Drosophila melanogaster: one gene and its partner. The protein of the gene in region 1 purifies or fractionates together with the protein of each later gene. This does not show direct contact. Each region holds a gene or a part of one and is shown on either strand. Other genes may lie near its edges. The genes, in order: dpr12 and cDIP.

Evidence for each region.
Region 2: the proteins of dpr12 (region 1) and cDIP purify together in Drosophila melanogaster (affinity purification with western blotting; 2 studies listed by BioGRID). This does not show direct contact.

The regions. Positions count from the first base shown.
Region 1 is NT_033778.4:5,802,587-5,807,838, forward strand, and holds the start of dpr12 (defective proboscis extension response 12), read left to right. Parts: upstream 1-2,125; 5' UTR 2,126-2,868; intron 2,869-5,252.
Region 2 is NT_033777.3:21,158,435-21,163,049, reverse strand, and holds cDIP (common Dpr-interacting protein), read left to right. Parts: upstream 1-1,957; 5' UTR 1,958-1,995; coding exon 1,996-3,660; 3' UTR 3,661-3,812; downstream 3,813-4,615.

The DNA of each region.
Region 1 (5,252 bases):
GTCTTAATTCCGTCAGCATTCTCGATTCCGTAAATCTTTTGCAAGTGAGTCTTACCACTGGTGGTGTTGGTTCCAAAAGCTATTTATCCCCTCTACCCCCAACAACCCCCTCAAAAGTTCTCCCTTGACGAGCAAATCTTTATAACAATTAGTTCACACCAACTTTGCAAACGTCCATTATCTAGACCAATCAAAAGGTAACGTGTGTCCATTGTTCAAAACTGCACGCTTAGGTGTCCCACACGTAACTTGCTTCCGACTGTCGCTTACCCAAGCCTTTCAGAACTTATGCCCCATTTTAGCATTTACAATCCCCACCCATGGCAATGCCAAAATTGTATTAAAATTACAAAATCAATCCTTAGCAAACAAAAAAAATATATAAAAAATAAAATTTAATTTATATACGACAATATATAATACAAAATGTTAAACTTCAAATCATACATACACTCAGCTGCTATTGCTCATTCATATTGTTAGCTTTTAATTTGCACTAAGCATTTAGCAATAAATAAGTAAATAAAAAAATATTTATAAGATGTAAATATTTGAATATTTATTATTTATTTATTTATTGGCTGAGTCGCGGCCCTCGACAAAGGCACTTCTTGTTGTCACTTGCTCCTTTGGTCGCCAAAAAGCAGGCTTATATTTCATACGAGCTGAAACTGAAAGGAAAAAGTGCAATCGTTGATAATAAACATTACGTTCCAGGTGTCGACAGAAGCAGCACAGTAGGCTGGCGGGGAAAGGTGCGACCAAAGGTGAGCGGAGTCATACTGAATGAACCAAGCATATTGATCATTGACTGAACGGCCGGCGAACATGCGAATCAACCACAAACCCAGAGCCAGATGTCGGCTGTTGTCGGTTGTGTGAGTGCAGTGCAGTTATTTTAGTGAGTGGTGGCAATAATTCAATTCGGTACATTTTAAGCCCGAAAGGCGTACGGCAGCGCGCAGACACGTGCAGGGCGACTCCGCTGCCTAATTAAGGGTACTAGGACTCGAACGACCGCCAATCGATGCAGCTTATACAATTTGCGATCGCACTCCATTCCCAAAACGTTTTCAATCGCCACAGCTTCCTTTGTGCGTCCAGGACGCGCGTCCGGCCAACCGGCGCTCTTCCGCTCCTCCGCCATTCCGCCCTCAAGTCCGCCGCGCGCCAAGGAGGAGCTCATGCAAAAGCAATTTCCTGAACTTTTACCCGACCGCTGATGCAGGCACACAGACTCACAGACACACACGCATCCTCTGGCAGATTAAGACGGCGACCCAACTCGAAACGCATTGGCCGACTCGTGGATGCCACAGCACTTGAAAACCAATACGAATGCGATTATGCCCCTGCAAGAGTGAGTGTGCGTGAGCTGGCGCTCTCGCCCGCACACAGCCACTCCAGCGTGGAAATGGCGGGCTGTAAGTAAGAAATCATTAAGGTTGGTCGGCACACTAATGGAATACGACAAGCGGCATGTGGGAACACACTCTTGCACTTGTCCTGCATCCTGGTGGCCACCGATAGCTGTCGTTGTAGTTGTCAGTTGGCCGGGGGATTTGCTCCACGTTCGGTTTTGGTCACCGCAAAAGTTTAGTTGCAAGTTGCGGCTCCGCTTGCGGCGGTCATCCGTCCGTCGGGCGTGCGTGCCATCTGACTGCCAGTTGCATTAGGATATCAATTTGCGGGACACTGATTCGCCAGTTTACTTGCGAAGTGTGGGTGCCAAAAGAGGTCCGGCTGTTGGGGTCCTTCAGCAGCCAAACGCTCCGGCACGTGACATTGGCAAAGTGAGTTCCGTTCGCAAATGTGACACAATTTGGTCATCTTGGGACCAAGGAATTCAGAGTCTCCGCGAAGACCCCTAAGAGAGAGCGCGAGAGCGAGCGCGGAAAGGACTCTCTTAGGTTACCAGAGCCCTGGAAGCCATGGAATTCAGGTGTAGCGTATGGACTCATCGGGCCAAGTCGGGGACCGAAGGCCATGCGCTGATTCGTGTCGCTGACCTAAAAGCTTGAAGAAGCTTCCGCTCAGCTTTCGCTCAGCTGAGCCAGGCGCAGGCGCAGACGCTCCCTTCCAGTGGCGAGCGGTTTCCGAATGCGTAGGAGTCCTGGTAGTCCTGTCAGTTCACTTCGTTTGCTCGTCGAAAGCTGTGCATGCTGCGGAAGCGACGGCATCGCTCGTTACCCCATTAGCAACAACAACACATCGAGCATTGACATACCATTCAACACAGCAACAACAAGGCCGTACTGAGTGCCGGACTGAGGCTGAGGTTGGATTTGAAGTTGGGGGCTTCCGGCGGCAAAAGTGCGTTTAAAATTACCAAAGTTGTCCCAATTAAAGGGTGCAGCGCGACTAACAAGTTCAAGTTGGATGTTTCGCCGCGCGAGCGACGTATTATCCCTGCGAACTCCTTTGTGCTCGCGGAAACTGGTGCGTGGCGGGCGTAAAATTCGCCAGTGACTCCGCGTTAAGTCAACTGTTCCTGCGAACTACTGCGAGTGCGAGGGCACGTTGCAGCCAACGGTGGCAAAAAGTAAAAGCGGAAACGTAAACCGAAACCGAAACGCCTGAGCGCCAGAGGTATTGAGAATCCGGGAAATCGAGAACAGGCATCGGTAGTGACAACTGTGAAATGTGCGGCTGCATTGTCGTTTTGCCACCACTTTGACCCAAATCGCATTGAATTCGCGTTGTGCCGGAGTGCGGGCTCTGCGGACGCCTAATGGCTTAGTGCGAGCAGTGCATGATCAATAAGCACCAATCGAAGCTCGCGAGTGCCCCACAGCTAGACATAAGAAAACGAGATCCACCAGCAATTGGAATCCTCTGAAGCATCGGTTCCGGGATCAGCCGTACTTGGTAAGTGATTCACAGCTAGTTGGCCGTTTCTCGCTTGTGAGTATGACATGTGGTTGACGGGAGGCTTGGGACTTGTCATCTTCCGCCGCTTCCTTCTGACTTACTCCAGACACGAGTTAGCTTATTTACGTGGGACTTGTAAGTTTGGGCTTTGGTTTATAGCCTGTGGCAAGAACTAACTTGACTGCTGTCAAACATACGACACGAACGTGTCTTGCAAAACACAACACCTCTAACTCATTAAGGGAGGTAAATGCCTAACTGCGTTGGTTATCAACCAAGAAAAGTTTAAATGAAATTAGGATTCGGCTGCACAAAGTCCGCAAGAGGAGGCTTGCAAAGTGGCCACATCTAGGATTCTGCTTAATTCATAGTAGAGAGTATTTTTCAGTGATTATTTTAGATGACTATATCAATGCGGTTTGCTTTCAGTTTTATAGTCAGAGAGTTCACTTAGAAAGGGATACATAAAGCTTATGTATGGTCCAGAACATAACTAATTTAGTCTTGTTTGGGAACACAGAAAGAAGCTGTCAAAACATCAAAAGCACTTGCAACATCGAAGATAAATTGATAGATAGATTAAAACTACTTAGTTTACTGAACAAAGTCCTTCACAACTATATTATCAACCCCCTAAGGTCGATGGGACTACGATATAGCCGGACTGGAGTTGGAAAAACTGCCGAAGCTTATTCATACACGCAGTGGCTCATGCAAATGGGAGATCGGGAATCCGACGGCTTTCTTGTGAAATAACAAAATGAAAGCGCAAGCTAAATATTTGCTAACAAAGTCCTTGGATACGGGCGCTAATGGCGAAGCTTGTTTTTGTGTATGTGACGGAGCCCCCAGCGATAAGGCACGGGGTCTTGTTTTCGTGGGGTTGGCTGGGCGATTAAGTCTGCGTTAGCCGAGACGTCAGAGGAGCGGCCACGCAGAAAGCAATTAAATGTATTTCCGCTCCAATGTCAAAATTAATGCGCGTTTCATATTTAAAAGCGTGAATGCACGTACACACGAGCATGTAGAGAAAGGTCATCGGGACGACAGGATGTGTGCGCGCGGAAGTCCTATGTCAATGCTGGACTGTCACCGGACAAGTGGGTCGAACGAAGCAGGAGCATTTTATCACCTCGGGGACTCACAGGCATGTCCGTAGCCGGACAGCTGTGGGCAAGTGGGGCACGCCCCGTTGCTATCGCCCTGCCCTGCCGGTGAAGCCGGAACCAATGGGGCGGCCCAGTTTTATGACTTGTAGTTCGACACCTCGTGTGCTGGCTAATGAGCGTGGAAGACTTGCGTAATGTGTGTTTATCATCCGCCCCGAGGCCGGCCGACTTTTTTGGTCATGGAACCGCAAATACTCGAATGTATTTAAATTGCAACTCTACTAAAAGGCGATTTGATTTGATTTGATTTTCTGCTGTGCTGTGTGCACGTGTGTGCCTGTGTGCCTGCCAGTGTGTGTCGTATATATGTAGTTCGGCAAGGTTTTTGCTCAACTCTTCCCATAGCAATCTATGCAAAATATTCACAGCCATAAGAGAAAAGTCAAATAAAAAACAACCAATATTTAAATAACGGATTACAAGCCAGTCGGCCAAAGAAGCCGGAGCTGATGCTGCTGCCACAGCAAAAACATAAATGGGAACAAGCGCCGTTGGAGGGCATGTAAGTTTCCCATTTAGTTATGAGGCCCGCTTTTTGGCCAAATGCCTGAACGAGTCGCTGGATCAGTGCGTAGACTGGCTGGCAGCCTGCTGGTGCCTTCTCAACGTTCCTGCTTCATTTCACTTCATTGTGTCTCCGGCGAGAGTCTTTGTTTTTATTCTGTTTTTTAAATCTTGTCATTCCTAGGAGTCCGTTTATTGCACGATGACATCATCTTAGGACGCGTCCTCCGGGGCATTTCACCCGATATTCAAATGCAAAGCTACCTCCCTACCAGGCATAACTACCAGTATTCAACGTACTTAATTGTATAAATTCTATTCCAAACGAACGGTTAAGTATAATTTAAGACGCCGCTGGCCGTTCGATTGCCATTCTGTCCGGGATGAAGCTGTACAATCCGGGCACTGCCAACTTTTAATTTTAATTTATTTTTGTGACTCTTGGTCCGAGCTGACCGGCTTATCTTTCTGCCATTGTGTTCAACCCGCATTGTGCAACCCTTTGCAGATATATATCGGCTGGCATCTTTTAGTGCTTTCCGTTTGATTGCAACTTGCAATCCGAGATTTTGGCAAAGTCCATCGGGCTCCAAGCGCAAAAGCCTGCCAAAGGAGAGAGAAGTGAGTGGATGCTATTAGGGGATAAAAATGGACCAGGCTTTGGGAAAATAAAGTCAATCAAATAGTGTCTTAATTGTTAAAGGGCCG
Region 2 (4,615 bases), on another chromosome or scaffold:
TTAGAACAAATTTACAAAAGCACTTGGACATAAACTTGCCAATTTGAATGGCAATTAGCTCATTTTCCAGTTATATCACCATCTAGTTGCGTCATCATTGCAGTCAGATGGGTGGAACAACCTTTGGATATCCTGAGCATTTAGCGTTCGAATGACCAATAAACCCAATGAAATAAATCAAGTGCCATAAACCGACGGCGCCATATAAAAGCACCCACAATAGAGGCGTAAAATGGTGCGCTATATGTTCTGATTTAATATATTTCTATATCGCATTTGTTTACACTGCTAAACTATTGGGCGAATTTGATTTGAATAAAGTACAGACGGCGGGGACAAAGTCTCGACAGAATAAAAGCCTGGTAATTTTCACTCTTTGTTTTTTTTTTTTTATTTCTCGAAACTTGTATGCAAAGTAATTGCGGCAAATTGAATTCAACAAAGGGGGCACAGGCGAAAAAGTGAAAAAAAGACGCTAAACGAAGTCATGCCGTTTCAATTGAGATACAATACACAGCTACAATAGATACAGATACAGCTATGGCAAATGCCATGCAAAGAACAAAAGTCGTCTTGAGTCGAGTAATTTAAAAGCCATTGGCTCATAATAAGCCCAATGCAAACAGGCAGATCAATTGTGAATACATAAAGTGAAAAAAATTAGCCATCGATATTCAAATTGTTTGTTTGCCCAGGCGGCCAAAGCCGAGAAAATCCCAACGCAAACGAATGGAAAATTAATTTTTAACATTTCAACAAGCGTATAAATTTGTTTGCATACAAATTAATAAGGCTCTACCTGTCATAATCTTTTTGTTTTCGCCCGCTAAGCTGCAACTGGCAAATTGAACGACTGAGAAAGCAGGTTGAACGTGTTCTCAAAACCGCTGGCATGTTGGCTAAATAATTGGCTAAATATTTTACACATTTTTCCACTGGACATGTCACCGCTTCGCAGGCGAAAGTTCTGGTTTCGCTATATTTACGAATGTTTTTCGTGTAAAGGTGCCTACATTCTTGCCTGATTGCTTTAAAAATAAGACTAGGAATAAATGCAGACGACAAAGTAGTTAACGGAAGTTCGTTTGCTCTTATCAAACCGAAACTCAAATGCCCTCCACTGAATTGTTCGCCTGATAAATAATGAGTCATTCGGGCAATCATCAGCAAAACTACACAACGCAAGGCAGTGCCAACAAAATGCTAAATGGCTGTTGTGTAAATTATATAGAAGGTATTTTAAGCAACGTTTCCACGCGCCTATATTTTCGATGGTAAAAGCCAAAGATGGATGGGCCCCAATGAAAATACTCTTACATAAAAATGGGCGAATGTCTGGCCTCATGTCCACTATCAGCAGCCAAAAGAGATTTCCACCTTTTGTTCAGCAAATCGCTAAGTAAACACTTCATGATAAGAGAACACACTGGAAATGAGTGGGAATTGCTCCACAGATATTGTACAAAGTTTTGTTTTTTTTTTCAAAGTCTGTGAGTTTTGAATGGAGCCAACAGAGCGAGAACTTCCATAGAGCAGCAAAAAATCATGAATAATAAACGGAAAAGCAGCACAGACAAGTGTCAAAATAATGATAGGTACAAAAAAAAACAAACCGATTTTCATCTCTCTCGTACAGCAAAAGATGTTAATTTCTTTTAAAAGGAGTTCCCAGACAAATAATTGTAATTAAATCTATTAATTAGTCAGCAGTGATTTCCAAAGCATCTCAATTCTTCGAAATAGAAATAGTATTTCAATCCGATTTCAAAAAAAAGAAAAAAACCCTGCCTTACATTTTCGAAATGCGCTGTACCCGCCACAGATGAACCATATTTATTTTCGCAAAATCAGAACACCATGAATAGAATGGGATGGCAATTATATAGAACTGATGATCGTTATTTGAGCATTATAGAGGAGCTTATCTGGCCAGGCGTTTGGCGGTCAACGTTTGGAATCAGTTTCAGGTCGAACGTGAATCGTGGAGCACGCCAAATGTACGTCCGGAATTGTCTGCCGTTCCTCTGCAGCTATTTGCTGATCTCATTGGCGGCCACAGCTACTACGGATGAGGACGCGGATGCTGATGTGGATAGTGGCTCATCCCGAATAGTGCTGGTCTCCAGCTTGGAAGGTCATTGCCAGACGGAGGGCAAGGTGACCAGCTGCAGGGGCTTTGAGTTTGCGGGAGAGGACGAGAAGGCCACCTTTGATCTGCCAACGGAGGTGCGGATTGCCGAGGATGGCACCACCTACGAAGTGGGCGATGAGGAGCACTCGCGAACCCTGATCTTCGAGAACTGCACCTTCACCAATTTTCCCCTGCGCTTATTTTACACACTAGAGGTCAGTGAGCTGGACATGCGCGGCTGTGGCATCCGCTTCATTTACTGGGAGAACTTCTCCATTGGTGCGGATAAGCTGGTGATTCTTCTGCTCAGCGATAATCACATCGAAGTGCTGCCCACGAAAACCTTCAGGGGAGCAGGAAACTTGGAGTTTATCTTCCTGAATCGCAACAAACTAGGCAAACTGCAGGCGGGTGCGTTTGATAATCTCCTGAAATTACAGTACCTGGATCTCACAGAGAATCGCCTGGAGGCTTTAGCCGCGGACGTATTTGCCGGACTGAAGAGTCTGCGGCACGTGGGACTGGCCGGTAATCAACTGACCACCATTGAGAGCGATTTATTTGCCCACAATCCGGACCTTTTGTCGGTCGCAATGCAGAACAATCGACTGCGAGAGGTGGGCGAGTATGCCTTTCGATCCCGCGGACGACACCATCAGATGCAGTATGTGGATCTATCGAATAACCCCGAGCTGGTCGTTCTACTGCTGAACATTAACGCCACCAATTTGACCGCTCGCAATTGCTCGCTGGACCGTGTCAATTTGTACGGATCGGTGACGAATGTCGATCTGAGCGACAATCGCGTGCGCGAGCTGTACTTTCCCGCCTCCGAGGCACTGGAGCATTTGGTGCTGCGCAACAACTCGCTGGTTCAGCTGGCGTCGTTGAGCCGCGTGCCCAGACTCCGGCACCTGGATGTGGCGGACAATCCGAACCTGGGTCAGTTGCCCGACGGTTGGCGGACGCCACATCTGGAGATGCTGGTGCTGCGGAATACGGGCCAGATGGAACTGCCGCTGGAGGCGTTGCAGGGTATGCAAAATTTGCAGAAACTTGACATATCCGGCAATAATTTGACGGAAATCGATCCATCCGCGTTCCCCACGCTCACGCAACTAACGCACTTCTATATTCATGGAAATAACTGGAACTGCTTCAGCCTGAGAAACATAATGGATGTGCTCATTCGTGCCAATGGCATTGCCTATACCGTGGATAACTACGATCCCGATTTTCCGGGGGAATACTTTCACGGAATAGCCTGCATGTATCGCTTGCCCGAAAAAGAGGGTGTGGACTCCTCCTCCTCTTCGGAAATCTCCGCCAGCGTAGAGTCCTCGCCCATAACAAGTAGTTCTGATCCCAGCGAGGTGGACAAACTGCGCGATGAACTGAAAGCAGTGGTGCAGCACTTTGATTCCAAGTTCGATTTGATATTCAGTAAACTGGCCCAATTGAATGAACAAATTCAGGCCTTTGAAGTGCTCAACAAAACTGTTTGGAGTCAAGTGACCTTGTCCGTTTGAAGTTGTTAAATATGGCCCATTTTTTATGTGATCACTACATTTTCAAAGCTTTACAATTATATGTATACATTATAATTAATATTTGAAGTATTTCCTAAAGCTTCTTAATTTTAAACATAAAATCTTTCGATCCAATAAATAAATCATTTTTTAAATTGTTGGAAGAATTCCACTAAAGAATTCGCGTGTATGTTTTTTTTACCAGTTCTTGATAATATACAAAGTTGGAACCATAATCTAACAAAACAGGAAGGCTTTTCGTCTTTGTTTAAGATTTAGTTTCCTAGAATATCATTTTTTTCTACGCCTATTCAATTCCTAATCTCGAAAACAATTTCTGCTCCATTTCCCTGCTGATTTTGCATACTCAACCCCAAAAAACCAATACAATTTGCAACATGAGCACATCTAGTAAATATTTATTGCTCGCTGTGTCGTATACGTAGAATAATATTTAAACAATAATATTGATTTTCGAGCAAAGCAAAGTTGGGTTCTTTTTCTGAAAGATATTGAAAGAGGTTCGTTCAACTCGGGCTGGCGAACCAAAATGGAAAAACGAGAAGAAAACTGGAGGGCGAAGACAAGATGGTGGGGCTCGGGGAACTTGAGTTGAATTGAACAAAGTCAAGTCAATTACAAAACCAATATTTTCGGAAACTAAACAACAATATTGAATTCGATCGAATGGACCAGAAACCGAGTTATTTTATTGCCATCTGCTAATGCGAACAGTTTTAATTATTTATGCTTTATCCCTTCTATTCGCTTACTCGCACATTTATGGCTAACTAATTGCTAAGATAAACAAACAGTTTCGATTTCAGTGCAGCCACTTCGTAAGGACGGAAAGTAGAAACAAATCCAATTTCACGGATCTCGACGATCACTGGTCGATCTGCTGATCCGGAGTATCGTGTGCATGTGATTAGGAATAAATCCATACATACATATG